Anolis sagrei: one gene and its partners. The protein of the gene in region 1 purifies or fractionates together with the protein of each later gene. This does not show direct contact. Links are inferred from orthologs where the notes say so. Each region holds a gene or a part of one and is shown in the gene's direction. Other genes may lie near its edges. The genes, in order: HNRNPA2B1, HNRNPH3 and HSF1.

Evidence for each region.
Region 2: the proteins of HNRNPA2B1 (region 1) and HNRNPH3 fractionate together in Homo sapiens (co-fractionation; 3 studies listed by BioGRID and IntAct, with this or other methods). This does not show direct contact. The link is inferred for Anolis sagrei from reciprocal best matches to the Homo sapiens genes HNRNPA2B1 and HNRNPH3.
Region 3: the proteins of HNRNPA2B1 (region 1) and HSF1 purify together in Homo sapiens (affinity purification with mass spectrometry; 3 studies listed by BioGRID, with this or other methods). This does not show direct contact. The link is inferred for Anolis sagrei from reciprocal best matches to the Homo sapiens genes HNRNPA2B1 and HSF1.

What each region holds. Positions count from the first base shown.
Region 1 is NC_090026.1:91,776,368-91,786,102, forward strand, and holds the start of HNRNPA2B1 (heterogeneous nuclear ribonucleoproteins A2/B1), read left to right. Parts: upstream 1-5,828; 5' UTR 5,829-5,843; coding exon 5,844-6,020; intron 6,021-9,735. Other genes in the region: CBX3 (chromobox protein homolog 3), read right to left, coding at 2,421-2,444. UniProt on the Homo sapiens protein: Heterogeneous nuclear ribonucleoprotein (hnRNP) that associates with nascent pre-mRNAs, packaging them into hnRNP particles.
Region 2 is NC_090023.1:170,440,360-170,450,616, reverse strand, and holds the start of HNRNPH3 (heterogeneous nuclear ribonucleoprotein H3), read left to right. Parts: upstream 1-6,530; 5' UTR 6,531-6,692; intron 6,693-10,257. Other genes in the region: phenazine biosynthesis-like domain-containing protein, read right to left, coding at 459-558, 4,498-4,581.
Region 3 is NC_090024.1:2,716,924-2,727,121, forward strand, and holds the start of HSF1 (heat shock factor protein 1), read left to right. Parts: upstream 1-5,593; 5' UTR 5,594-5,790; coding exon 5,791-5,910; intron 5,911-10,198. UniProt on the Homo sapiens protein: Functions as a stress-inducible and DNA-binding transcription factor that plays a central role in the transcriptional activation of the heat shock response (HSR), leading to the expression of a large class of molecular chaperones, heat shock proteins (HSPs), that protect cells from cellular insult damage.

The sequences.
Region 1 (9,735 bases):
AAGCACATCTTGACCAAATGAATTTTAATTGGAGATGGGCAAATATATGTGATAGCCATGTCTAATTTTTGAAACTTAATCATCCAAAAAAGGTTTCTCTTTCACGATCCAAATGCACAGGGTGGACTTTTTACTTGTTAGACAAGAGGGAGCAAGCAGAACTATAGAAGGCTCTCCCTCGTGACATCAATGTACAACCCCAAAATGTACAGGTGTTTTAGAAATATTACAACTGTCTAGAGAACACTTCAATCACTTCTAAACTGATGTAGGTAATAAGGGAAGTTTACAGCAAACACCAGCATGCAGGATCATATGATTGGCTTATCCTGTCTAACATTGTTTTGCAGTGGTCAAATAACTGTATGTGGGAGCCCTACAGCAAGACATGAATGCAGCTGCACCCCCTATGCTGCATTGGACAGAATCCTGTTTTTTGGTATTGGATACAAAACATAACCCTCTTTACTAGTAGCTACTGATGATCCTAACTTCAATGTATGTATTCCATTCTCTTTTAAAGTCACACAGGCTGTTAACTGCCTGCCTTCATTATCCTGCTACATATATCATGGTTTCCAATATTATACTATATAGAAAAATTGTCCTCATCACGCATAACATTATAGATGTCTTTCTTACTCAGATTACAAGAGAATCCTCCTAAACATTAAGAAGAACATCTTTACTGTATAAAGGGAGTGGAATCAGAAGATCAGGGGCTATCTTCATGCAGGGCAGTGTTGAACTAGATGGTCCTTGTGGTTCCGTCCTGATACAAGATTCTGTGTTTATACACTCTGCTTTCTTTTAAACTTAGAAGTCCCAATATACTGCTGTTCTGCCTCACATGGAAGTTGTTTTAGTGCCTTGATTGTTCTAGGTGTCCTTTTCAGTATTTCTTTCACCCTCCCAACATCTTTTATAAGATGCAACGACCCAAATTGTACATACCATCCCAGAGGAAATTGCACTATCTATTTGCATTAGAGCAGTGGTTCTCAACCTATGGGTCCCCAGATGTTTTGACCTTCAACTCCCAGAAATCTTAGCAGCTGGTAAACTGGCTGGGATTTCTAGGAGTTGTAGGCCAACACCTGGGGACCCACAGGTTGAGAAGCAATGCATTAGAGCAACGTGATACTAGCATTTTTTTTTTTAAAAAAAATATCATTTCCTAATTATATGCAACATAAAAGTCTGCTTTTCTTTTCTGGTATGTAACATGTATCAACTGTCCTTGGAGTTGATAAATAAAACTGCATTTTTTTCAACTTTGTCAAGAAAGTGTAATTTAAAAATTCCATTTTAATCTTGTGTCAATTATTTATCAATATAATGTTTGCAGTTGAAACAAAGTGGCCATGTAAATATAGATGGCATCAGCAGTAGTTTCTTTACTGCTACTAGATGTTGTGTTTCTGCAAAACGTTCTCTTAAATCAATGGCAATATATTTTACATTTAGCATTTTTCTCTGAATGAAACTTGGGTCATTCCTTCTGCTACACAGAAATGAATAATTGCATCATGTGTAGAGCACGCATCAAGTATTAAAACTTTTACCTGAACCTGGCAAATCCACTGATGCCAGAATTTGTATTCTTTCCAGTTGCCTTACTTTCACAATCTTTTATTTGGTACAATAACAGGTAAGCTGGGCCAAAACGGTTCCGGCTCAGCTTACTTATCCGAACACATCTCCCCCTATGAACCAGGATAGCTAAGATCTTCTGGAGAGGCCCTGCTCTCAGTTCCACCTCCGTCACAGGTGGGGACTAGAGACAGGGCCTTCTTAGTGGTGGCCCCTCAACTGTGGAACTCTCTTCCTAGTGATGTGAGATCAGCCTCCTCCCTCCTGACATTTAGAAAATATGGCTTTGGAACCAGACATTCGGAGACTAGCTACAATGCAATAGACAGCTGGAAATCAATGTGACTGTAACTGGAATGGCTCAAGGACTCTGATTACAGAATTTGTGGTTGTTTTAATTGCTGTTTTCAATCCTGTTTTAATTGTATTTATATGTGCTCGTTTTTATGTGTAATTAATGTTAAAATATTTATAATTTGTTATTTCTGTTTTGATGTGGCATCTAATTGTGCCAAACTGTAAGCCGCGATGAGTCCCCCTTTGAGGGTGAGATAGGGCGGGATAAAAATATGGTAAATAATGCTGGGAGATGTGGATGTATCTTTTTACACTAGTGGTTCCCTACCTTTGGTCCTCTAGAGTTTTCGGACTTCAACACCCAGAAGTCCCAGCCATCTTATCAGCTGTAAGGAATTGTAGGAGCTGAAGTCCAAAATACCTGAAGGACCAAAAGTTTGGAACCAGTGTTTTACACAGAAATGCCAACAATAAATCTGAAGAAATATGGTGATAAAATCCTTACATATTTTATGTGGTTGTGAACTTACCAATGTAGATTTATTGGTGGCCATTTTTATTGCAGACTTGCTGAGCTTTTACTAGAAAAATGCATGACAAAAGGAATGTGTATTACTCAGAGAAAGGCATCTGAAAACAAATATGGTCCCTTTTTTATCAATGTGATTCCAAAATTCAAGTACATTAGCAACATTTGAAGTTATATTACTTATGACACTAGGCATTTGGAGTTAAGCATTACCTACAAAACATGCCATGCCTTTTCACTAACAACATCACACATTCTGATCTCAAACCAAACATTTGCAAAGAAAGCTTATACTGCAAAACCTCAAAGTGGGGTGATATCATGATGCTGGATTGCAATCCCCTGGTTTCCCCATAATTAGCTACACCAGGGCTGGGGATGCTGGGAACTGAAGTCCAGAAACATTTCAGGGGTCACAAAATCAGCCATAATATCAATATATACAACATTTATCTATGTCCCTCAAAGGCCCTACATGGCTTGATGGAAGGGGTCTCCTAGTGTGTCTCCCTGTTGATACTCCAGACCTCCTCTATTTGTCATCTTCCTCTCTGAGTAAGCTATCGGAACGCTGCATCATAAGACTCATGGGCCATCAATATATGTCATTTTAAAAAGAAAGGGGAGACCATTTCTGATTTGGCAGGATTTTAATTTGGATAATGAAGTTTGATTCAGATCCATCAAGCCATCTTGGAGCCTTTGAAGAACAACCATGTATAGTACAGGTAATTCTAACAGTTCAGGAAGATACAAGATTGCGGTCGAGTAGACAACAAATACATGCGTGACCTAGGAATCTTAAACATAGGTTGATTTGATTTTTTGGGGCTGTATGGCTATGTTCCAGAAGCATTCAAAGTCTGGCGGGAATCCTTTGTTGGGAGGTGTTAACTGCCCCTGGTGGTTTCTTGTCTGGAATTCCCCGGAGGATGCCTGCCCTACATGTGGGCAAAAATGTCAGAAGAGAATGCTGCTGGAACATGGCTATACAGCCTGAAAAACTCACAGCAACTCAGTAATTCCGTCCATGAAAGCCTTCCAACAACAAATCTTAAACATAGTTATAGAACATACACACACAAAAGGTAAAGGTTTTCCTTTGACATTAGGTCTAGTTGAGTCTGACTCTGGGAGGTGGTGCTCATCTCCATTTCTAAGCCAATGAGCCGGCATTGTTCGTAGACATCTCCTAGATCAGTGGTTCTCAACCTATGGGTCCCCAGATGTTTTGGCCTTCAACTCCCAGAAATCCTAACAGCTGGTAAAGTGGCTGGGATTTCTGGGTGTTGTAGACCAAAACACCTGGGGACCCATAGGTTGAGAACTACTGTCCTTGGTCATGTGACGAGCATGTAAAGAGTGGTGACCTTCCCGCTGGAGCGATACCTATTTATCTACTCACATTTGTATCTTTTTGAACTGCAAGGTTAGCAGAAGCTGGGGCTAACAGTGAGAGCTCATTCCTTTCAGTCAGCAAGTTCAGCAGCTCAGTGGTTTAACCCACGGTGCCACTGGACACATATAGAATAATTCATATTACAGTCCCAATGCCTTTTAACAGGAGTTTCTTTGCAAACCGATGGGGTGGATCAACCAAGAGATGCATGAAAGCAAATCCACCACCCAGAAAACTCTGCAACCCAGTAATCCACCACCTTCTGCCTGCTTCCCTTCCACTTTCAGCCATCCTTTTTTTTGTAGTGAGTGCATCCTTCCATTCCGAAAAAAATGGAATGTAAAGAGTAACGGCCTACAGCAAAGCATTGATGCTAAGCACGAGAAGCAAGGAAAAGGGGGGGGGGGGAGAGAAAGGATAGAATCCCACAATCTATATAAATAAAAATGTAATGTTCATTTGCGGGATTAACATAACTCAAAAACCACTGGACGAATTGACACCAAATTTGGACACAATACACCTATCAGGCCAACAAGTGACCATCACTCATAAAAATACTGAAAAACACAGCAGAAGGGACTTAAAAAGCCACAAATGCAAAGAGATGTTACAGTGCATGTGCAAAATGAGTACCCTGGACAAACAAAACACACAATAGCATATCCACACTTTCTTCCAGACTAGAGCTCCCAGCATCCCCTAGACCAGGCCCTTTAGGAGAGGAAGATGATGCAAATGCACTGCTTCCAAGCTGCAAGTTTGCTTCTCCTTGGATTTCTTTGAGAGCATACCAATCCCTGCATACCTCCAATTTCCTATTCCTGTACTGCAACTCCCAGGAATCCTCCAGATAGATAGTCAGTGGTTCTCAACCTGGGTCCCCAGATGTTTTGGGCCTACAACTTCCAGAAATCCCAGCCAGTTTACCAGCTGTTAGGATTTCAGGGAGTTGTAGGCTAAAAACATCTGGGGACCCCAGGTTGAGAACCACTGGATTAGATGGAGAGAGAGAGAGATAAATAGACTGATCAGGAGGACTGCTGGGAGTTGCAGTCCAAGAATAGAGAAGGAAGAAAGGAGAGAAAGAGGAAGGGGAAGGAAGGGAAGAGGAAGAGAAGAAAGGAGAGAACGAAAGAAAAAAAGGGAAGAAATGAAGGTGAGAAAGAAAGGAGGAGAGAACGAGGGAGGGAAGGTTGGCCACAGCAACGCGTGGCGGGTAAAGCTAGTCCAGGAGAATAAGACTGGGTGAAAATGCCTGGCCAAATATCCCAAAGGGACCCCATCCTTCTTTTTGGCCCCCCATTTCCAAGCATAGAGCTACCCATCTGAGGACCTGACGCTTGGAGGGATGTCACTCCTTTTCACCGCCTCCAGCCTCCGTTTCATCGGGCCTCTTCCTTTATGGAAGGAAAGGAGAAATGGATCTTACCAGTAAATGGCGGTCAGGCCGCCATTTACACATTTAAAGTTGGAGAGTGCAACGGAGGAGGGTCTTGGGTGGGCGGCCTCACATTATCCTCAAGCTAATTTTTGAGGCCTACTGCAAAACGCCCCATTTTGTTTGTAAAGAGGCCTACTGCAAAAGGCTTCATTACCAATCCCTTTCATGGGTCATAAGGCGGCGTTTGAAGAAAAAAAAAGGGAAATGGAGGAGGGGAGGAGAAAGGAAAGGGAGGAGGAGGCCACGCCTGAAGCTTTCTCGAGTTACATAAATATATATATATAGGTAAGCGGCCCTTTTCCCCTCAGAGCGGCTCATGCTGTTCTTGCAATTAGGATTATGATAAAGGGGCTTTAAAAAGGAGGGCAGGTGGAGATGGGAGGGGAAAGGAAGGATAAAATAAGATAAAGAGAAAGATACGGACTTCAATGGCGGCGGCCCAGCGTCTGCTCGGCTCCTCCGAACTGTGTTGGCTCCCCGCGCGCTGTGTGTGGAAGAAGGCGCCGCCGCCGCCGCGAGGGGAAAGGGGCGGGGCCTAGGGAGAAGCCCTCCCCTTTCCCCCTTCCCGCTCGCCACTGCGCATGCGCCGCCGCCATTATCTGCACCGCCGGTCGTTAGCCGCTTCACGCATTTCGTCTCCTGCCGCCGAAGGAGCCAAAGCGCGCCTCCCGCCTCTCTTCCCTCACTCTATCGCGCCCTTCGCTGTTTCCTCAGCCGAGATGCCTCGCGGAGACCGGGAGAGCGACTGGGTGAGTGAGGTAACGGACAGAGTGGCTCGGTTAATAGCCGGCTTTTACTTTGAAGGGGGGAGGAAAAAAGAAACTCCGCCGCCATTGTGTCCCTGTGAGTTCGAGCGAGGGGAGAAAATGGCGGCGGCGCAGGAAGGGAAAAAGCGCGCGCACAAACAGGGAAAGGCAGCGCCTAGGCCTGATTTTGAAAATTGTTTCCAACAGAGCTGATTTAATGCCCGATTCCTCACCGCGTCATCCCTGGGATTTTGTTTTCTCCTCAGGGAAAAGCGATACAAAACAGTATTGATATGATTTTTTTAAATAAACGTCATTTACGAAGGGATTTTAAAAATATATTTTACTATATCGAGCCACTACAAAGGAGAGGGGTTTCGTTAATCCATCGCCTACCCATCCCCTTTTTGGCGCGATGACACTTCGTGCTTCTTCGGCTTTTTCCGGAAACCGCAAAGAATGGATTGTTTGTCCGTTCGGGTTTTTCCGGAAATCGCCGAAGGGGCTGCGAGGGGGAATCGGTATTCTTCGGCAGTCTTCCGGAAATGGCCGAAGGACCCTCCCTGTGGTGACGAAGCGCCTTTGAGCTGTTGTCGCACACTGCACGATCACTTGTAAAACATTTTTTTTAAATAACGGTCGCATACTTCAGTCTGAAGTAATGTTTTGAGGAAAAGGGCCAAAACGGGGAATGAACAATTCGATATGGTTTAATAAATGGACATCAAAGTATTTTGTTTAAAAATGCGGAGGGGAGAGGAATGGTGAGGTAATTTCCAAGTACGTAGCAATCAAGGCCGCCATAGCACGAAAGACGAGTCCTATTCTCGAAGCGCGTTACTCCAAGCATGGTGCGTAGCATAGGAAGCTGAAGCGTCAGCGCCCCGGGTTGGAGATTGCGGCGCGCCTGCGCGAACTGCGGCAGAGTACGCCATTAGCGTAGGTCTTGGAAGCAGTGACGCAGAAACGCTGGGTGGCGCACTTGGCGCGACTGGGATGCTTCTAATGAGGCCATTGGGGAGGGGGAGGAAGGTTCTGGAAAGGCCCGCAGCGGTTGGGAGGGGGAAGCGGCCGTGTTAGTCTCTGGCACCCCCCTTAAGCCCCCCCCCCCAGGCCCACGGGCCATAGTGTGGGTCAGAGACCGTCTCTCTTTGTTCCTGGCGGGGAGGGGGGTGCTATTCGAAGACCTCCGCCTGCTCTTCTCCGCCTCAGCGCGAGAGCGGGCAGGGTGCGCGCGCAGAAGAGCAGAGCAGCCTTTCGTGGCCTTCTGGGAACGACCCCCCCTCCCCCCGCCTCGTCTTCTTCGGCGCCATTTTCTCTCCTACTCCGCTGAGGACTTGGGATTCACGGGGACGTCACATGGCGGAACCATTTTCAGCGGGAGTTCAGCAAGGGGGCGGGGGAAGGATAATGTGCTACGTAAAAATACCTAACACGAACCGGTTTTTTTGTCGTCCCCCTCCCAACCAGATTTGTCCAGCAGAGTTAGTTGATCACGCCCCATAAGGGCTCTTCCACTAAGCTCTATATCCCAGAATATCAAGGGAGAAAATCTCACATTATCTGAGTGGGGTTTCAGATAATGCATCTGTGTGGAAGGTCCCTTCCACACAGTCCTATATCCCTGAATTTCAAGGCAGAAAAACACACAATATCTGCTTTGAACTGAGTTATTATGAGTCCACACTCAGATAATGTGGGATTTCTGCCTTAATATTCTGGGATATAGGGCTGTGTGGAAGAGCACAAAGAGTAACCGTTTTTGCATTGCACCAAATCTTCTGAGGGCCTTTCTGCACATCCCTATATCCCAGAATAACAAGGGAGAAAATCCCACATTATCTGAGTGTGCTTTCAGATAACCCAGTTATCTGTGTGGAAGGGACCTAGTTTTTGCATTTTCTAGAACAATTGTCTCACCAAAGGCCCTTCCAAACGCAAAAACTAGGGCCCTTCCGCATAGATGTGTTATCTGAAACCCCACTCAGATAATGTGGGATTTTCCCCCTTGATATTCTGGGATATGGAGCTTCGTGGAAGAGCCCTTAGTTGATTACGTATGGGGCGTGATCAACTAACTGAACAAATGTAGTGGTGGTGGGAGGAGGGGGGGAGAGGGACAAAAAAAAGCCCCTCTGAATTTCAAGGCAGAAAATCCCACAATATCTGCTTTGAACTGAGTAATTAGACTCCACATTCAGATAATGTGGGATTTCTGCCTTGATATTCTGGATCAGTAGTTCTCAGCCAGGGGTCACCAGATGTTTTTGGCCTACAACTCCCAGAAGTCCCATCCAGTTTACCAGCTGTTAGGATTTCTGGGAGTTGAAGGCCAAAAACATCTGGGGACCCCAGGTTGAGAACCACTTTTCTGGATATTTGGCTGTGTGGAAAGGGCCAAAAAGTGCCTTTTTGCATTGCACCAAATCTTCTGAGGGCCCTTCTGCAGATCCCTATATTGCTGAATATCAAGGTAGAAAATCCCACAATATCTGCTTTAAACTGGGTTATCTGATTCCACACTCAGATAATGTGAGATTTTCTCCTTTGATAATGTGGGATAGGCTGTGTAGAAGGGCCCTGGTTTCCTTTAACATTGCACCACTTTACTGTAGCAATTTGGGTAATCTTCCATCCTGTTCTCAGCTTGACCACATTTCATAAAAATGCAAATTGCTCACCTGAAAGTTGTCTGCTGGCAGAAGAAATGAAAACAAATTACCTCTATTTGTTGGCGTAGGCCCCACCCACACTGCCATATGAGTTTACATTGCCATATAATCCAGTTCAAAGCAGATAATCTCGATTTTATATGGCAGTATAGAAGGGATAGGTTGGGATTCTGAATCTTGTTACATTTGTGAAAAAATAATATGCTTTTATAAATTGCTTCAAACAAAAAATGAAGTTAAACTAGATGGGCTCCTGAAGTTGAATGTTTGACAGATAGTGTCAAATCCAAAATGTAGCCAAATGAAATAGGGGTTTTTTTGTATATATTTCTGTATTTTTGGAGATATAGTGAGCTGTGGGTCCATGTGTCAACCTAATTAATACCTCATTATTTAGCATATGTTTCTGCATTTCAGTTGAGAAAGATGCAGGCTTTCCTACTTGGCTGCTTGCATCTGAGTAATTATTTAGGATGCCTTACACTCTGTATTAACATTTAAAGACACAAGAGCCTAAATCCAGGTACTAATCCCAGTAAGAATAGACTCAATGAGGCTGCATATGTAGGAGTAGTAGTTGGATTTACAGCAAGGAATTGCAACTTCTTTAAAAAAAACCCCACAGTGAGTGGCACACAATCTAAAATGTTTTTCAGTGGCTTGATATTTTTAGGTGAATATTGTATCATTGTAACTGATTTGTGTTCAGACACTTCAAAATCTTTTTCTCACTTATTTTAAATAAACATAATTGATACAGTCAAGAAGTCAACACAGTTCATGTCATTCCTGGTGCAGGGGAAGAAAAAAATTGTCAGGCCATTTTCATAAATAAGGGCGCTTAAAACAATCAGATAAGAAATGCAGGGGCCCAATCTTTTTTCTTTTCTTTTTTCTTTGCAGGTTAAGCATAAGGCAAGCCTCTTTGAGATTACTTCTGTGCGTTAGGAACGTGAAGCTTGCTGTTTGAGCTGTGAAGGAAGCTTGCAGTGCAACACTCAGGCTGAATTTTTTTATTTATATATAGCAGAGTTTCTTATTGATGTGGAGATTGC
Region 2 (10,257 bases), on another chromosome or scaffold:
CAGTCCTTACTGGCCCAGAAAGCCAAGGGCCAACAGCTGAAAGAGCACTGAATCCAAGCCACACTCAGAAAGAGCTGTGGAAAATTTACTTAAGACTATGACAACCTTGGTCTATCTTTGTTTCAACATTGTGGCTGTGCCCCTGTGAATTTTGGATCAAGAATGACCCAGCTTCCCCACCATTTAACCTCCTTTACCTTATCTGCCTCCTTAGGCAGCAGATCTTTGAGCAAATCCCCATGACGTGTGCCTTATCTAAATCCCCTGTAACAATTGAATGCTGAAAGTTAGAGTTGTACTTTCAGTTACTGAATTGCAACTTTTAAAAAAATGGGTTGACTTATCTTCTTTCAAGGATTAATATTAACACTTTTTCTTTTCAACATGGAATATCACATCATTTATCTGAAACCAAAAGTGACAGAACAATTTCTTTTGATTTATTGAAAGGGTCTTACTTTTGGTAAAGTCATCTGTCGGGTGCAATTTTCTGATGAATGCCGTTTCTGAAAGGTTCATTTCATTTGCAATTTTTTGGTGCTGGTTTTCTTCCAGTTTCTAAATGGGAAAAACATTTTATGGCAAAGATAAAATGATTAAGAAATGGATTAATAAACAACAAAGTAAAAAAGGAATTTAATTCTGGCACATTGAAATAAGCATTAGATCACATCAGACTATAGATCTTCAATAGTTCCAGTCTGACTGTTTCGGAGTGGGGCAGCTGCCTGAGAAAGCAAAGTTAGGATGTCATGAAAGAGCAAATTTTTAAGATTTATTTTATCACTTTATTTTGGCTTTCAGAGATGGGAAGAGAACCTTCTGTAATTAGAATCAGAGAGTTGGAAGAGACCTCATGGGCCATCCAGTCTAACCCCCTGCCAAGAAGCAGGAATATTGCATTCAAATCACCCCTGACAGATGGCCATCCAGCCTCTGTTTAAAAGCCTCCAAAGAAGGAACCTCCACCACACTCCAGGGCAGAGAGTTCCACTGCTGAACGGCTATCAGAATCAGGAAGTTCTTCCTCATGTTCAGATGGAATCTCCTTTCTTGTAGATTGAAGCCATTGTTCCACCTCCTAGTCTCCAGGGAAGGAGAAAACAAGCTTGCTCCCTCCTCCCTGTGGCTTCCTCTCACATGGCTATCATATCTCTTCTCAGCCTTCTCTTCTTCAGGCTAAACATGCCCAGCTCTTTAAGCTGCTCGTCACAGGGCTTGTTCTCCAGAACCTTGATCATTTTAGTTGCCCTCCTCTGGACACATTCCAGCTTGTCAATATCTCTCTTCAATTGTGGTGCCCAGAATTGGACACAATATTCCAGGTGTGGTCTAACTAAGGCATCTAACTAAGCATTACTTCCCAAGATCTAGACATTATGCTCCTATTGATGCAGTCCAAAATCCCATTAGCTTTTTTGCCGCTACATGACACTGTTGGCACGTTTAACTGGTTGTCCACGAGGACTCCGGATCTTTTTCACACGTACTGCTCTCGAGCCAGGCATTGTCCCCCATTCTATATCTTTGCCTTTTGTTTTTTCTGCCTAAGTGGAGTATCTTGCTTTGTCTTTGTTGAACTTCATTTTGTTAGTTTTGGCCCATCTCTCTAATCTGTCAAGATAGTTTTGAATTCTGCTCCTGTCCTCTGGAGTATTGGCTATCCCTCCCAATTTGGTGTCTGCAAACTTGATGATCATGCCTTCTAACCCTTCATCTAAGTAATTAATAAAGATGTTGAACAGGACCGGGCCCAGGACGGAATTATCTTCCTCATGTGCCATAAAAGTGTTTGTTTATTATGTACCTTATCTAGGATGGATGGTCTGTTCCATCTATCAGTTCACCTCTCAGAAAACGTCTTTAACCAGCCCCAAATGTTCTATGAAATAGCCCAACATTATAACTTGAACAAAGCTAAATTTATGCACAAGGCACTCTGGTGTGTTGTGCCTGCGCCAAGGACTGCCAGAACATGTAGAAGTAAGGGATTAAGGACCAGAGGCGGGCCTAGGTAATTTTCAACGGTAAGCAAACAGTATTTTGGCATCCCCCCCCCCCCCCCCCACCAATCACTGATATATATTTTCTGTTTGTCGTGGGAGTTCTGTGTGCCATATTTGGTTCAATTCCATCATTGGTGGAGTTCAGAATGCTCTTTGATTGTAGGTGAACTATACATCCCAGTAACTACAACACGCATAAGTCAAGGTCTATTTTCCTCAAGAGCGCCTCAAGAGCACCCCTGGGCAAAATCAACTATACTGCAAAGCTTACTTTGTGTAATGGGTTGAGCCGCCCCTGATAAGGACATAGGACTTGAATCACCACAAATCATACACAATTACAACAATGTATAGGGATCTCTTTTTTTTTAGCAGTCAGATAGTCAGCAGAAAGATAACAGAAGATTTTTTTATTGTATCAGGAGCAGAAGATGACATCTAGTGGATAAGCCTCACAGTGTTTCAAGCAGCCCAAACGCCAGAAGAATAGATTTGTAAATGATGACTAATAAAGGAACAGAAGAGGATGATTGGAGGCAAATTATGATGCTGCAACTTGAAATACTGAATCTGTTGACAGAGCCAACAAAAGATGGGTTGGACTGGATGATATTTTCAACAGGGTCAGAAAACTTGATATCAGATTGGAAACTTCCAAATGACAAAATCAATTTTTTGAGTGAAGGACATACACTGGGTTGTTAGGTGTCTTGTGTCCAAATTTGGTGTCAATTCGTCCAGTGGTTTTTGAGTTCTGTTAATCCCACAAATGAACACTACCTTTTTATTTATATAGACTAGCCGTCCCCTGCTATGCGTTGCTGTGGCCCACTCTGGTGGTCATGGGGGTTCTGTGTGGGAGGTATGGCCCAAATCTACTGCAATTTGTCCAGTGGTTTTTGAGTTCTGTTAATCCCACAATCTATCTTTGGACAACACTAGAGATGGCTGGAGCATTTCCAAACTTTCAGTGTAGGAGGCCCCATGCCTGGGTCTTCATATCTAGGTAAAGTGAGCAAAGTAGGCTGTAGGAAAATAAACTCCTTTTTACTGAGTCAGAGCACTGACCCTGATTCGGGGCCGTTGCAGTCCCTTCCTTACAGGTTTTGACATTAGGGTTTGGGGAGGGGGTTGTAGTGGCCTGTGAGGCAGGTGTTACTCATCCCAACTGTAGAAGTGCATTGGGTAAGAATTATGGAAGTTATAGCTTGTCAATATCTGAAGGTACATAAATTGCTACTTCAGCTCTATATAAAAGTTAAGAAATGTGTTCCCTGCTGGAAAATGTTTTCTTGATAGCAGAGGGAACTTAGCATGGTTATGCCACGTCAGCTCTGCAGATTTATGTCAAGCTTATCTGACGTTACTCTCTGAAACACCCAGGTTGCATTTATTTCTTTGTTCCTTTATGCATGAAGGAGTCATAGCTACTTCTGTAAACAAACCCAAAATTAAGCAAAAATACACACACACAAGTTATTATGCATTTATTTTTTTAAAGGCAATGCAATGCAGAGATGGGAAGTTAAATACTTATCAAATTATGTCTTAGGTTCTTGTGGTTTTTTTTCGGGCTATAGAGCCATGTTCTAGAGGCATTTCTCCTGACGTTTCGCCTGCATCTATGGCAAGCATCCTCAGAGGTAGTGAGGTCTGTTGGAATTAGGACAATGGGTTTATATATCTGTGGAATGGCTGGGGTGTATAACCACCTGTCTTGTTTGTATAACCACCTGTCAGAAGCAACTGTTATCTGACATAGCGTATTATGGGACTGAGTCATCAGGTTGCTCACTGAAATGCAGGCAGAACAAACAACTCTTTAGGGTGAAACTCTATGAGGAGTGTCTGAAAGTGCTGGGTATGTTTAGCCTGCAGAAGAGAAGGTTGAGAGGAGACATGAGCAATGGATAAATATGCAAAAGGGAGATAAATATGTCATAAGGGAGAGGGAGCAGGCTTGTTTTCTGCTGCCCTGGAAACTAGGACATGGAGCAATGGGTTCAAATTACAGGAGAGGAGATTCCACCTGAACATTAGGAAGAACTTCCTGACTGTAAGAAGAGCTGTTCAGCAGTGGAACTCTCAGGTTTGGTGTCTGGTCGAAGCTCTTTCCTTGTAAGATTTTAAACAGAGGCTGGATGGCCATCTGTCGGGGGTGCTTTGATTGTTCTTTTCCTGCATGGCAGGGAGTTGGACTAGAGGGCCCATGTGGTCTCCCCCAACTATAATTCTATGATACTATGATTCTGTGCTATAAGGGTCTTAATGTTTGGGGTTTTTAATTAGTTAATTTAATAAATTTTATATTTCTGAATAAATAATGCACGTGATTGGTCTCTGTAACCTAAACTGTAACTAGTTAAAGTCATATTGAAATTAATAAAAACTGCACTTTAAAGTCATATTGAAATTAATAAAAACTGCACTAAGTCAGAAAATGACTGAACAATTGTCATGTTTAAGATAAAGGGAAATGTCAAAAACTTACATCTTCAAGAAGACAAACGGCTGCAGGGTTGCCACGAAATGGTTGATCTGTAAATGCATCAACGGTGAACATAGAAATCTGCATTTTCTCTGGTTTTGCTGGTTTTCGGAATGTTCTCTTGCAAAATGGTGACTCTCCTTTCTAACTGTTGCATAAACGTCTCAGTTAATATTAAACTCAAGGAAGGGAAATTGTTAGCAGCTTTATCTGCGGCTATAGAACATTTATTCTTCTATGCAATTGGAAGCATTTTATCTTATGTTTAGAAGAAAATCCCTTGAAATGTTAATGATCAATTATGTCTCATTAATTAATTCATTAACTACTAAAATTGAAGCATTCTTTCCATGTATATAGAAATGCAATAAAGAACTGCAATGATTAATAGAGTCCCATGCCTGTTCGCTTGGATCAAAGTCCTGAGGTACAGGGCTGATTCCCAGGTGTCATGCCACAAGGGTCATAGTTTCAGCCTTATGAGGTGCACCATGGGATGCAAAGGCAGCAAAGGCAATTCTCTCAACAAAGGCAGAGTCCCAAGACCTCTAAGACACACAATAACATCCGCAGCACGAGACACTATATCAATCCATACTCCCCTTTGCAGTATTTGGGCCCTTGATTGACTATGGAAAGTCCTTAATAATAATCATCATCATAGAATCACAGAATCAAAGAGTTGGAAGAGACCTCATGGGCCATCCAGTCCAACCCCCTGCCAAGAAGCAGGAATATTGCATTCCAATCACCCCTGACAGATGGCCATCCAGCCTCTGTTTAAAAGCTTCCAAAGAAGGAGCCCCAACCACACGGGGCAGAGAGTTCCACTGCTGGATGGCTCTCACAGTCAGGAAGTTCTTCCTCATGTTCAGATGGAATCTCCTCTCTTGTAGTTTGAAGCCATTGTTCTGCGTCCTAGTCTCCAAGGAAGCAGAAAACAAGCTTGCTCCCTTCCTCCCTATGGCTTCCTCTCACATATTTATACATGGCTATCATGTCTCCTCTCAGCCTTCTCTTCTTCAGGCTAAACATGCCCAGCTCCTTAAGCCGCTCCTCATAGGGCTTGTTCTCCAGACCCTTGATCATTTTAGTCGCCCTCCCCTGGACACATTCCAGCTTGTCAATATCTCTCTTGAATTGTGGTGCCCAGAATTGGACACAATATTCCAGGTGTGGTCTAACCAAAGCAGAATAGAGGGGTAGCATGACTTCCCTAGATCTAGACACTATGCTCCTATTGATGCAGGCCAAAATCGCATTGATTTTTTTTGCCGCCACATCACATTGTTGGCTCATTGGTCCAGATGATTGGAACTAGGAAAATGGGTTACAATTGTTCATTTTAATTATTGCATTGCTTTTACGGTTTTTTTGCGCTATAAATAAGATATCTGCAGTGTGCATAGGAATTCATTCATTTTTTTTCAAATTATAATCCGGCCCTCCAACAGTTTGAGAAACTGTGACCTGGCCCTCTGTTTAAAAAGTTTGAGGACCCTTAGTATAGATGTTAAAAAGTATTGTATTCGTTCATGAATACATACATGTATATAAATTTATTTCTCTGCTTTGTATAACTATGTAAATTGAAAATAAACAAAGTTTAATCTTTAAAAAAAGAAAGAACTGTCGAAAGCCCTCTCAAGCGAGGCAAAGATGAGGAGAAAAAGGCGACATGCCTTTATTAAAAGAGAGGCTTCCTTGTCAACTGAGGCCCCTTGAATAAAATCCCACATTATCTGCTTTGAACTGGAATGTATGGCAGTGTGGACACAGATAACCCAGGTCAAAGCAGATTATATGCCTTGATATTCTGGGTTATATGGCTGTGTGGAAGGACCCTGAGGTACTAGAATGTCCTTGCGGCCTGCTTTCCGCTGCAGGGAAGAAATGCATCCAAAAGGGGCCACCGCCATCTTACACTCTCTCTCTCTCTCTCTCTCTCGCTCGCTCGCTCCCTCCCGCCTTTCCGCCTCGGCTCCCCTCCTGCGCATGCGCTGCAGCCTGCATCCGGGCACCAGGACGCGACTTTCCTGTCGGAGGCGTTCTCGCGAGACGCGTCGACGGCGCCATCCCTCCCGCCTCAGCTGCGCAGCTCGCTCCGCCGCGAGCGCTTCCTGGGCCTTTTTGAGGGCGAGTTCGGCGGGGCCCGTTGCGCCGGAAAGTCAGCTGGGGAAGGGGGTGAGGTGCTGCCGGTGAGTGGGGAGGCGGGAAGGGGCCCGGCGGCGACCCCGCGGGGAAAGAGCGGGCCGAGTGGGCGGGCCCGCCTTCTGGAGCCACGGCCGGGTCAGAGAGAGGGGCCGAGGGAGAGGGAGCGGGTCAAGCGGGAGGGCCTGTGCTTTGGGCGCGAGGCCTGCCTTTCCCTCAGGCGCCATGTTTAATGCGAAGAGCGGGGAGGGAAGTGTGGGCGACGCCTGGAGGCGCGGGGATTGGGCCCTCAGTCCACACAGCGGGCGAACAGGAGGGAGAGCGGGGCAACGAACAGTAACGGGCCGGCGCGCGCCTGACAAAAGGAAAGGCCGTGCGCGCGCGCGCACACACACACAGGCGCAAGGCCTCCAGGAGGATCACACCCCCTTCTACCCCCCTCCTCCTCATCCTCCCGGAGAGCGGGCGTTCTGGCCTCTGCCACGCCCCCTCCCACCGTTCTTTGTGGGTTTTGCGCCTGCGCGATCGGCGCGTGCGTGCTCAGAGGGCGGGGGGATTTCCTCGCAGAGCGCCCTAGGCGTTTGCAAGGCCTGTTCTGTTGTAGGGCTGCATGGTTACTTGCTGCGAGCGCTTCGAAAAGTGCTGAATCTGTAATCTCTCGTTCATAATTTGCATTAAGAAAAACTAACACACAATCAACAAACATACATAGAAAGTGAGAATACAAACCGTACCACAAAAGGAGTAGAAACACGAGGGGGATTTTTTAAGTAAGGTCCGTTTTGTTGTAGACACTAGTAGTTCGCGCGCATACCGCAACGAGCGTGTGCGTCGTGTACCGGCATGCTTGGGAACAACTGTACTCAGTTTCCGCTCTGTAGCTAGCCTGTACGGTTCTGTTCTGTGCTTTAAAAATGTTTAAAGCACAGAACAGATACCTAACTGACCGCCTCTCGGCCTATGAGCCTACGAGGACTTTGAGATCTTCCGGGGAGGCCCTGCTCTTGATCCCGCCTGCGTCACAGGCACGGCTGGCGGGGACGAGAGATAGGGCCTTCTCGGTTGTGGCTCCCCGGCTGTGGAACACCCTTCCCGTGGACATCAGGCTAGCCCCCTCCCTGTTGATTTTCCGCAGGAAGCTAAAGACCTGGCTGTTTAAGAAGGCATTTGATCAAAAAGTGCAATGACTGGAGATTTGACCATAGGAATGGAACAACGGAAATGATATCGGACAGTGGGTTTGATGATGAGACGATTCGGAATGTAGTAGAAATTTTGTAGTATTGGTGATGTTTGATAAGATGGTTTTTGATAATGATGATTGTGGATATCTTGCACTATGACTTGTAATTTGCACCTGTTTTTATGTTGTACACCGCAATGAGTCGCCCTCGGGCTGAGAATTGCGGTATATAAGAGCAGTAAATAAATAAATAAATAAATTTAAGACTATCAACTCACCCTCCAACTCATACTCCAGAGGACAGGAGCAGAATTCAAAACGATCTTGACAGATTAGAGAGATGGGCCAAAACTAACAAAATGACGAATCTGGAACATGTTTTTGATGACGAGACGACAGTGAATGGGTATTGTAGTAACTGTTTATTAATTGTGTAATGTGTTAGGTTGTTAACTGTTTTTATACTGTAGCACTGAATTTTTGCTGTTCGTATTTGTTGTGAACCGCTGTGAGTCGCCTTCGGGCTGAGAACAGCGGTATATAAGCAAGGTAAATAAATAAATAAATGAACAAAATGAAGTTCAACAGGGACAAATGCAAGATACTCCACTTGGGCAGGAAAAACGAAATGCAAAGATACAAAATGGGGGATGCCTGGCTCAAGAGCAGTACGTGTGAAAAAGATCTTGGAGTCCTCGTGGACAACAAGTTAAACATGAGCCAACAATGTGATGTGGCGGCAAAAAAAGCCAATGGGATTTTGGCCTGCATCAATAGGAGCATAGTGTCTAGATCTAGGGAAGTAATGCTACCCCTCTATTCCGCTTTGGTTAGATCATACCTGGAATATTGTGTCCAATTCTGGGCACCACAATTCAAGAGAGATATTGACAAGCTGGAATGTGTCCAGAGGAGGGCAACTAAAATGATCAAGGGCCTGGAGAACAAGCCCTATGAGGAGTGGCTTAAGGAGCTGGGCATGTTTAGCCTGGAGAAGAGAAGGCTGAGAGGAGATATGATAGCCATGTATAAATATGTGAGAGGAAGCCACATGGAGGAGGGAGCAAGCATGTTTTCTGCTTCCCTGGAGACTAGGACACGAAACAATGGCTTCAAACTACAAGAAAGGAGATTCCATCTGAACATGAGGAAGAGCTGTTCAGCAGTGGAACTCTGCCCCAGAATGTGTTGGAGGCTCCTTCTTTGGAAGCTTTTAAACAGAGGCTGGATGGCCATCTGTCAAGGGGTGATTTGAATGCAACATTCCTGCTTCTTGGCAGGGGGTTGGACTGGATGGCCCATGAGGTCTCTTCCAACTCTTTGATTCTATGATTCCGCATGTGAGGTTCGCTCAGTGATACGGTTTTTGTCAGCAAGGAACCTGCCTGCTGCAGAAATTCATCAATAGATTTGTGAAGTGTACTGTGATACTGTTATGAGTGAAAGCAAAGTGCGTAAATGGGTACAACAATTCAAAGATGGCCGTGACAATGTTCATGATGAGGACCACTCCAGTCGCCCTTCTTTGATTACAGACGATTTGGTGGCTTCAGTTGAAGCAAGCGAACCTCATATGCGGAGGGTGAGTTGATAGTCTTAAACATTTTTAAAGCACAGAGCGGAAACTGAGCACAGTTGTTCCCAAGGCATGCGGTATGCGCGCAAACTACTAGTGTCTACAACAAAACGGACCTTACTTAAAAACTACCCCTCGTACAATTTCCTAATCTAGAAAACATGCTGCTACAATCACTAAAGAATAACTACCTACTTAGTCTAAGGGCTTTATATCTCTGCCTGATTATTCTATTTTCTCAATGTTCTATGCCCATTAAAAGAATTGAATCTAATTTCTGTGTTCAGTTTTTGTGCTTGATATTAAGTTACCTTAGGGCTCAGTGAGAAGTACTTCAGAGAACGCATGTGTAATAGGAATTTACTAAAAGGGTAAGTCCTGCTTGCTATTTATCTTAGAGAACAGGATAGCAATACTGTTCCAGAATATTGACTAAAAAGTTAGAAGGCATTTTCAGTTATAGTAAGGGCATATGTTAAGATACAGAATCGATCCTGTTTTTCCACCCTGTAGTTTGTAATCAGCTGTAACATACTGATTGTATTGTAAATGGCCTGTTTAACAAAGTTACTGCTACAAACAATGCTTTTTTGGCCTTTATTTATTTTTCTGAAAGGATTATATCATTTCAATGCTACATACAATTCAGAGACGCCTGTTTACAGCAGAACACATTTTGAACATGTTCTAGAAAACCAATCCCATTAATATAAAAAAAACCCACTTCTATTCGTATGACTGTAATACTGTGTTACCCTTTTAGGCTTGATGTAGTTTACAAGTATTTATTTTGCTGTGTAGTATAGTTCTGAAGCAACAGAATACATTTCTTATTTCTGAAAGTATGAATAGC
Region 3 (10,198 bases), on another chromosome or scaffold:
TTGAATTGGCATCCGCTGGCAGCTCACCAAGGTCGGGACCCCATTCGCGGTCCTTAGGGACTCTCCTCGCTGGGAGTACCCCCCAAAAGAGCTCGATATCATTTGGCTTTACCACGAAGGGACTGCTGCTTGAGGTTCCAGACTAAATTATAGCCTAAATTCTCAAGCAGGCGCCTTGGACTGATTCTTCGGGCCAGTGGCGGCAGAGGAGCGGCTGGGGAAAAGAGGCGCCTCTCCCAATTCGGACTTTCATTTGACCAAGCTAACCAAAAACTACAAATTCTCCCTCAGCCACCTCCTCCCAAGCTCTGACCTGGGGTTTCAGCACAAAGGAGCGCCAGGGAAGCCTTGATCTAAGGACTTCCAGGAAGAGGAGCGACCGACGCGGAAAGGGGGGAAGAAAACGTCCGGACGGGTAAGAAATCAACCGCGGGCTGCCTTGGCTGTCAGGTGGGAGGGGATTCTAGGTTTTCCGAACCAGCTTCGGAGTTGGCCCACTGGGGAGGGATTCTCTAGGTCTCGGTAACAAATTCCTGGCGGGAGGTAGCGAACATCCACGTTTGAGGTCCAGAATAGCAATTCAGCTCGCTTTTGCGGCCTTGGCTGGAGCTACGTGGGAAAGGGAGCCCTTCCCTTTCGGACTGCCTAGCTGCCAAGGGCTGATCGCCCCGGGCTCTTCTGCTAGGGAACCGTTCAGGCTCTAGCCTGCCTTGCGGTTGGGGGGGGGCTACCCTGATTAGCCACTGGTTTGTGGGGCTACCAGGAGAGATGGGCGCATGTCATTCTGGGGTCAAACGTCCTGTCTCATTGGAAACACCTTTAGGAAGAGTACTGGCGGAATGGGACAGGGTTGCGTCGCTGACGCAGGCCAGTAGGGTAAAAAAATCGCATGGAAAGGTGGCCCACCAGGCCCTCAGCAGGTGGAGTTTCGTGGCCCCTCATGGCAGTCGGATCGCTGTGAGGGGGCCAAGGGGACCGAACTCGCCTCTGCCTCATGCTTTTTTGCCATGTGCCGGAGGAGGTGGAAGGGGGGTAGTTGTGGCCAACTCCTACCATGCAAGGGGAAGGTGACAAAGCCCCAACCCCCAGGAAACCCCCTCCAGACCTTTCCCCCCTCCCTTTGAAAATTGCTTGTTCCCCTACCATCCCATTCCCATTTCCCTTTACCCAATCTCCCTGACTCCTTCCTTCCCTTTCCAACCCCTCCATTTCCCTATTCCCTATTATGAAATGTCTGCATCCATATGCCCCTCCTAAATTTTTTTCCCCCCTGTTCCTTGAGGAAATGCGCTAGGGAAATTCTTTGCTCTCCTCCTCTCCTGCTTTCTCCTGTGCCACCTTTTTTTCCTTCCTTCAGATGGGAAAAGGAGGCATTGCTCATTCCCTTCTCCCCCAAGCTACTACAAAATCCCTTCTTTCTCAAGCTGAATCTTCAGTGCCTGTTTATTTATAATAAACAGTGTTTCTCCTCGCCAGGAGAGACCCTGCCACTGATGTGACTCAGCTGCCTTGCAAAAGTCTCTCTCTCTCCTGGTCTCCCTGACCCAAGAGCTCTCTTTTTCTCCCCTTCTCTTCTGTGCAACTACAAAACCCATTTTTCAGGGGCAGTCACCAATGTCCCTGCCTTATCCTTTGTTCTCTCTTTACTCCCCAACTTCCCTTTTTTTCTCTCAAAACCCCTCCTCCCTTTCTCCTCTCGCAAAGGGAGGTGTAAGAGGGGACCTTTTCTGTTCCTGTTTCCTCTTGCCAAACAAAGTTTTCTGGCTCTCTCTCTCTCTCTCTCTCCCTGCTTTTCCCCTTTTCTCTCTAAGAGCCAGACCTCACCAAAGAGTTCCATGTGCTTGTGAAATGTCTCTGAAACCCATCCTTTCTCTCTCTCTCTCTCTCTCTCTTCCCTCCCCTCCCATCCTCTAAGAAGCCAGTATTCTGTGAATTCTTTCCTCTATCTCCCAGAGGAATCCTGCTGCTCCCTCTTACCTCCTTCTCCAAAAAACCTAAGGAAGGGATGTTCCAGAAGCATTCCCTCCTGACATTTCACCCACATCTGTGGTTAAATCTCTCTCTCACACACACGCAGTCCCTCTGATGCTCTTTTCCTTCCTGGCCCTTCCTCCCTCCCCTTTCCCTGAGCGCATGTATGTGTATGTCTAGATTATCCCATTAACTGCCTTAAATATGAAGGGGGCGTCGAGGTCCAGGGGTCCCCTCTGCGCAGTAAAGAGCAACTGATCAAACTGTGGGACCCATAATCCACTCCTGCCGCTGAGGACAACTACCTGGGCGAGGTGAGCAAGGGAGGTCTGTGGACTTTCCTGTGTGGAACCCAGATGGCACAGGAAGATCCCAGGAGAACAGGACCAGACCCCATGCCGCCCAGAAGAGACAGCCCCTCCTAGAGGCTGATCTGAGCCCCCACGGGGGAATGCCATCGCAGGAGGAGCAACCAGGATCCCACAGCAACTGCCATGAAGGAAGGAGGCCCTGCCCGTTCCAGAAGCTGTGCAGAGGGGTGGCCCAAAGGAGACCACTGACGCCCCCACTAGGTATGAAAGTTTTTTCCCTTTTGTTTCCCCACTAACTACCCTTGGGCTGGGAAGGGGGGGGGGTGGGGGGGGCTGTAAACCTTCTTTCTGACTGTCCTAGACACTATCCCTGAGTCTCTGTGATGATGGAGAGCCGGACCGGTCTGCGGTCACCAGGAGACGCCACGCCAGAAGGAGTAGCAAGGCTGTGCCCCATCTTCTCCCTCCCCCAAGTGCCAAGGGAGGAGCCAGCGCCCCCAGGAGGCCTGAGGACCACGGCCAGATGGGAGGATTCCACCATGTGCCATCCTTCTCCATTGGGAACTCACTCTGGACCCCTGAGTGCTCCATGCTGACGGCCATCACAGGCTCCATCATCCCCTGCCTCCACCGTCTTCACCTTCTTACTTCAGTCTCTTTTTCTTTCTCCAACCCAAAGAACACTCCGCCACTGGTCTCTCCCACCCTGCTGGGTCCTGCTGTTGTTGCTTGAGTGGGGCCCCGAAATAATCAACAGAATACAATCTAATCAGTCTAGAAAGAGGCCCTGAGTGCTTGGGGGGGGATTGTCGAGGCTTGAGGAAATGAGTGTGACCATTTCCCAGCCTCGAAGGGAGGATTTGATGCAGAGCATCTTTCCCCCCCCCAAGTATTTGTAGTTCACCAAGGGCCGGACAATGGATTCTGCTGCTTCCTGACCCAGATGGGACATAACTGGGTTCCTGTTTCCTCTCTGTGAATTCTCTGGCTTGTGCACTGGACCCTGGCCCCTGATCAGGGAAATGCAGTTCCCCAAAGGACATTGCCCCACTCTCCACTATTTGCAGATTCTTTTGCGGACCTTTCTGCCCTCTCTGATCGACTTGGTGCCCTAACATCACGGACTTCCTCCATGAACTCAAAGCCAAGCCGCTTGGGGAGAAAGAGCCCCCCGCCTGTGTGTGCGTGCCCTTGTTGAAAAGGATCATACCTCGGGAACTCTGCTGATTATCTCTATCAATTGCTGTGGTTTTCTAATAAACTTTACTGGGATGGGATGGGGATCTTTCCTATGGAATCTATGAGTTATGAAAGCCTATGAAGAAAATATGTATGAAGTATATGATATATGATGAAATGAAATGAAATGAGATGTACCCTCACCCTCCTTCCTTGCCTTTTCCCCTCTTGAACTTTGCCCTATTGAAAGATACGTGACCTGGGGTTACAGTAAGGAATCCAATTTCCTTGGAAAAAACTCCATTCATATTGACATTGCATGGACAAATACTGGTCACATCTGTGGCTTTGTTTTCAGTGTCAGACGAACAAAGCCAGAGATTTGCCAGCCAAAAACCCGGAAAAAACAGACTGATTAAATCAATCAAGGTGTTTTGTGTACGCTCCTTTGTGACAAAGGACCCCTTTGCCCACAAGGTTGAGATCCAGACACCACCCATAGCCACCCTTTTTGCCTATACACATCTTCTTATCGGAACCCAGGAAATCCCTTGTTCCCCCGTCTGCCTCCCCTGCCGTGAAACAACAAAGGGTGTTCAATCAGCTGGCGGACGCCTCCCAGGCATTCCGCCCCTCCACGCTGTCAAAATACATCCCGCCTCCTGGCCGCTGATTGGACAATCTCCGGAGGCGCTCCGAGGGCTCTGATTGGCCCCCTGGAGGCGACAGCGGCCGGCGATTGGAGGGAAGGCGGGACCAGCGGCCAAGCCTCCTCCCAGCTGTTCTGGAGCCGGCCAATCAGGACAGAGGGAACTGACAGGAGGCGGGCGGGAGATTCAAACCAGGATTTCTTTGTTTCTTCTGTATAAATATGCCTGAAATTCACTGTACTGCATGCTTATTGTGGATTCATCCCTTTAATGCATCCTTTTCAGCTGAATCGCTAAATAAACGCCTCGGTCGCAGATCTCCTCTTCAGCCTCTGGTGAGATTGATTTTCAACGTTTTTGCGTCTTTTTGAATTGGCATCCGCTGGCAGCTCACCAAGGTCGGGACCCCATTCGCGGTCCTTAGGGACTCGCCTCGCTGGGAGTACCCCCCAAAAGAGCTCGATATCAGGAGCAAGCTTCCTTTCTGCTGCCCTGGAGACTAGGACGCAATGGACCCATGGCTTCAAACTACAAGAGAGGAGATTCCATCTGAACACGAGGAAGAACTTCCTGACTGGGAGAGCCGTTCAGCAGTGGAACTCTCTGCCCCGGAGTCTGGTGGAGGCTTCTTCTTTGGAAGCTTTGAAGCAGAGGCTGGATGGCCATCTGTCAGGGGTGATTTGAATGCAATATTCCTGCTTCTTCGCAGAATGGGGTTGGACTGGATAAAGGCCCATGAGGTCTCTTCCAACTCTTGGATTCTAGGATTCTATGATTCTCAAGCACGGCTGGCGGGGACTTTCTTGGTGGTGGCTCCTCGGCTGTGGAACGCCCTTCCTACGGACATTAGACTAGCACCATCTCTAATGGTATTCCGCAAAAAAGTGAAGACCTGGCTGTTTGTGCAGGCGTTCGAATAATTAGTGCAATGATTGGTTAATGAACATTGGAACGGAATAATGGATGACGAATCTGGATCATGTTTCTGATGATGAGATGATAGCGAATAGTGAATGGTTACTGTAGTAATTGTTTATTAATTATGTACTATGTTCGGGTTGTTGAATGTGTTTTTATACCGTGGCCTTGAATTTTTGCTGTTTTTGCTGTTCTAATTGTTGTGAATTGCTGTGAGTTGCCTTCGGGCTGAGAAGGGCGGTATATAAGTAAAGTAAGTAAATAAATTAATAAATGTAAACAAAAATAGAGCATTCTAAGCGATGTAAACAAAAATAGCTTGGGGCTTTCTGAGTTTTTTTCAGACTACAACTCCCAGCAGGCATTATGAACGCTGCCTTTGGTGCGCCCTTCTGGGAAATGTAGTCCATTTTTTGAAAAGAAAAGATGCGCATGCGCAAAATTCTAGATAAAGGATATGAGAGAGAGCGAACTGTGTTGCTGAGGTCTTTTTGCAGGCAGCACTGCGCGTGCGCACTCCTTCGAGGGAGCCACTGCGCACGCGCGGGGCCGTCCTTGCTGAGGGGGGCGTGTATGCGCGAAGTGCGCGTGCGCAGGATTCCCCCAAGATGGCGGCGGCCATGCCTGGATTTTCTGAGGCGCTGCTGAGTGCGCAGAGAAGGGCGTCCGGCCTGGTGAGGGCCCGCTAGCCGAGCCTGCCTTGCCGGCTGGGAGTCGGAGCGAGGGCCTCCGGAGGAGGAGGACGAGGAGAAGGGCCGGGCATGGAGGCCTCGGGCGTGGGCGCGGCCGGAGCGGCGGGCAGTAATGTGCCGGCCTTCCTCACCAAGCTCTGGACCCTCGTCGAGGACCCCGAGACAGACGCCCTCATCTGCTGGAGCCCGGTGAGGAGGAGGGAATCCGAGGGAAGGAAGGAAGGGACCCCCCAAGGCCATCCAGTCCCACCCCCTGCCAGGCAGGAGAAGCACCACCAAAGCCCTCCCGACAGGTGGCCCTCCAGCCTGTGCAATCACCAAAATAATAGCAGCCACCCAGGAGGAGGAGGAGGAGGGCGGGCATCCGAGGGAAGGAAGGGACCCCCAAGGCCATCCAGTCCCACCCCCTGCCAGGCAGGAGAAGCACCACCAAAGCCCTCCCGACAGGTGGCCCTCCTGCCTGTGCAATCACCATAATAATAGCAGCCACCCAGGAGGAGGAGGAGGGCGGGCATCCGAGGGAAGGAAGGGACCCCCAAGGCCATCCAGTCCCACCCCCTGCCAGGCAGGAGAAGCACCACCAAAGCCCTCCCGACAGGTGGCCCTCCTGCCTGTGCAATCACCATAATAATAGCAGCCACCCAATCTGCCATGAGGGAAAAGTACAGTCAAAGCACTCCTAACAGATGGCCACCCAGCCTTTGTAATAATAATAATAATAAGGAGCCACCCATTAAAGAATCCTAGAATCCTAGAGTTGGAAGAGACCTCCTGGGCCATCATCCAGTCCAACCCCATTCTGCCAAGAAGCAGGAATATTGCATTCAAAGCACCCCAGACAGATGGCCATCCAGCCTCTGTTTAAAAGCCTCCAAAGAAGGAGCCTCCACCACACTCCCTCTGGGGCAGAGAATTCCACTGCTGAACGGCTATTGATGCAGGATTTTGGCCTGCATCAATAGGAGCCTAGTGTCTAGATCTAGGGAAGTCATGCTCCCCATGCTTTATTCTGCTTTGGTTAGACCACACTTGGAATATTGTGTCCAATTCTGGGCACCACAATTCAAGAGAGATATTGACAAGCTGGAATGTGTCCAGAGGAGGGCGACTCAAAGGATCAAGGGTCTGGAGAACAAGCCCTATGAGGAGCGGCTTAAGGAGCTGGGCATGTTTAACCTGAAGAAGAGAAGGCTGAGAGGAGATATGATAGCCATGTATAAATATGTGAGAGGAAGCCACAGGGAGGAGGGAGCAAGCTTGTTTTCTGCTTCCTTGGAGACTAGGACGCAATGGAACAATGGCTTCAAACTACAAGAGAGGAGATTCTATCTGAACATGAGGAAGAACTTCCTGACTGTGAGAGCCGTTCAGCAGTGGAACTCTCTGCCCCGGAGTGTGGTGGAGGCTCCTTCTTTGGAGGCTTTTAAACAGGGGCTGGATGGCCATCTGTCAGGGGTGATTTGAATGCAAAATTCCTGCTTCTTGGCAGAATGGGGTTGGACTAGATGGCCCAGGAGGTCTCTTCCAACTCTTTGATTCTATGATTCTATGAACGCAGTTCACAACAGAGCAAAAAGGCGGTCATATCAAAATAGCAGTAAACAATTTAAAACCACGAGAGCATAATATACAAGTAATGGCACATCAATAACAACACAATAACGTCTCGTAACTAGAATCGTGAACCAACTCGTCGTCTATAATTCCGTTCCTATATTCATCGTATTCATTGCACTGTTTATCTGAATGCCCGTTCAAACATCCAAGTTTTTAATCTTCTTCAGAACACCATCAGCGAGGGGGCTGATATTACCTCCATAGGAAGGGTGTTCCACAGCTGGGGGGCCACCACAGAAAAGGCCCTGTCTCTCATCCCCACCAGCCGCACCTGTGAAGCAGGCGGGATCGAGAGCAGGGCCTCCCCCGAAGATCTTAGAGTCCTGGTGGGTTCATAGGCAGAGATACGTTCGGATAGGTAGCTTGGGCCAGAACCATAATAATAGGAGCCACCCAGTCCAACCCCCTCCTCCTATGCAGGGAAAGCACAGTCAAAGCACCCCGAACCATTGAAATAATAATAATAATAATAATAATAATAATAATAATAATAGGAACATCCTGCCATGCAGGGAAAGCACAGTCAAAGCACCCCTAACACATGGCCACCCGGCCTTTGAAATAATAATATATTTCAAGCCACCCAGTCCAACCCCCCATCTGCCATGCAGGGTAAGCACAGTCAAAGCACCCCCAACAGATGGCCACCTAGCCTTTGAAATATTATTATTATTAATAATAATAATAATAATAGGAGCCACCCAGTTCAACCCCCATCTGCTATGTGTGGTAAGCACAGTCAAAGCACCCCCAACTGATGGCCACCCAACCTTTGTAATAACCATAATAATAGGAGCCACCCAATCTGCCATGCGGGAAAAGCACAGTGAAAGCACCCCCACATTGAAAGCACCACAGTGAAAGGCCACCCAGCCTTTTAAATAATAATAATAATAATAATAATAATAATAATAATAATAGGAGCCACCCAGTCCAGCCCCCTTCTGCCATCCAGGAAAAGCACCATCAAAGCACTGCTGATAGATGGCCATCCAGCCTCTGCTTAAAAGGAAGAAACTTCCACATGACTCCAAGGCAGAAAGTTCCACTACTGAACAGCTCTTCTTGCCGTCAGGAAGTTCTTTCTAATAAAGTTCAGGTGGAATTTCCTTTCCTGTAATTTGAACCCATGACTCAGCATCTTAGTTTCCAAGGCAGCAGAAAACAAAGCTTCTCCCTCTTCCTTTTGACATCCTTTCACATATTTATACAGCTGAAAATACCAGTTGGATCAAGGGAAGTCATGATCCCACTCTGTTCTACTTTGGTCAGATCTCAGAGCTTTGCTGGAGTCTTTTTTATGGCCTCATAAATTAGTTAATTTAGCCTCCCCACATAAGGTGGTACCTAATTTTCCTACTTGACAGATGCAACTGTCTTTCGGGTTGCAAAGGTCGACAACAGGCTACACAATTGGTTGGAAGCCCACTCCAACCCGGGCTGGCTTCGAACTCATGACCTTTTAGTCAGAGTGATCTTAATGCCGCTGACACTCAGCCAGCTACACCACAATCCCGGTGCAAATATTATTAATAATATTACATGGTATGTAAATATATAATTATAATTATAATATTGTATTATTATTACTAGTATTATATTGTATTGCATTATAATATTCTACGATTCTAGGGCAGGGGTTGCCTGGCAAGGGGAAGAGTTGGGCCTCTGCCTCCCTCCTGGAAAGCAGCACCAAAATGCATTGCTAACAGCAGCGAAAGCGACCCTTGAACACAAATAAGTCTCTCTTTTTTGGGAAATAAGCAGAAATGTAATCAGGGAATATGAATTGTGAGATCACAAGGGCCATCCAGTCCAGGCCCCTTTTGCCAGCCAGGAAAAGCACACTCCGAGCACCCCCAGCAGATTCCCATTCAGCCTTTGCTTCAAAACTTTCAGAGAAGGTGACTATCAGACTCAGAGACAACAGGAGATTCCACAGTTAAACTTTCAGGAAGTTCTTTTTAATGTTTGGGTGGAATCTCTCTTTCTGCAACTAGGGCTTCATTGTCTCCGGGTCTCCAGAACAGCAGAAAACAAGCTTGCCCTCTCCACTATTGACATTATTTTCTGATATTTGAACATGGCTCTCATGTCCCCTTCTCTCAGCCTTCTTCTTATTCCAAGCTAAACATCCACAGCTTCTATTCAGAAGGATTCCTAGCTTCCAGACCTCTGATCACTTCGGCCTCCCTTTGCTGGACACCTTCCATGTTGCCCATCTCTTTCTTGAATTGTGTTGCTCAGAACTGGACACAGTCTTATTCCAAATGAGCAAAATAGAGTCGAGTGGGACCTTCACTTCCATAAGACCCGTCGCAAACTCTGTTCCTGCGGGAGCAAACCTTGCTAGCATGTCCCTGACGTCATGAGACTCCGCCTTTTTCCCCGCCCCTTTCTCCGCCTCTTTCTCCTTGCGAAAGTGGTTTTTCCTTTGCTAGGGCAGCATTGCCAGCATACTCTCTCAGTTGGCAGAATTCAACTGAGAGAAAATGCGGGCAATGCTGCCCTAGCAAAGGAAAAACCACGCTGGCAAAGAGAAAGGGGCGGAGAAAGGGGCGGAGAGAGAGGCGCAGGCTCATGACGTCAGGGACGTGCTAGCAAGGTTTGCTCCCGCAGGAACAGAGTTTGCGACGGCTCTTACACTAGATATTACAGGCTTATGGATGCTTAGGATTGCATTGGATTTTTAAATGCTGCATTCACTGTTGACTCATGTTCATCATGTGTCCTAAACTGTACATTATTGGCGTGGATTACAACTAACAATACTATACAATGCCTGGCATGTTGCAACTAAAACTGCTGGTGAGACAGGGGGACTGGTGGGCTGGGCTTTTTGAAATGCCTTCATATGTCA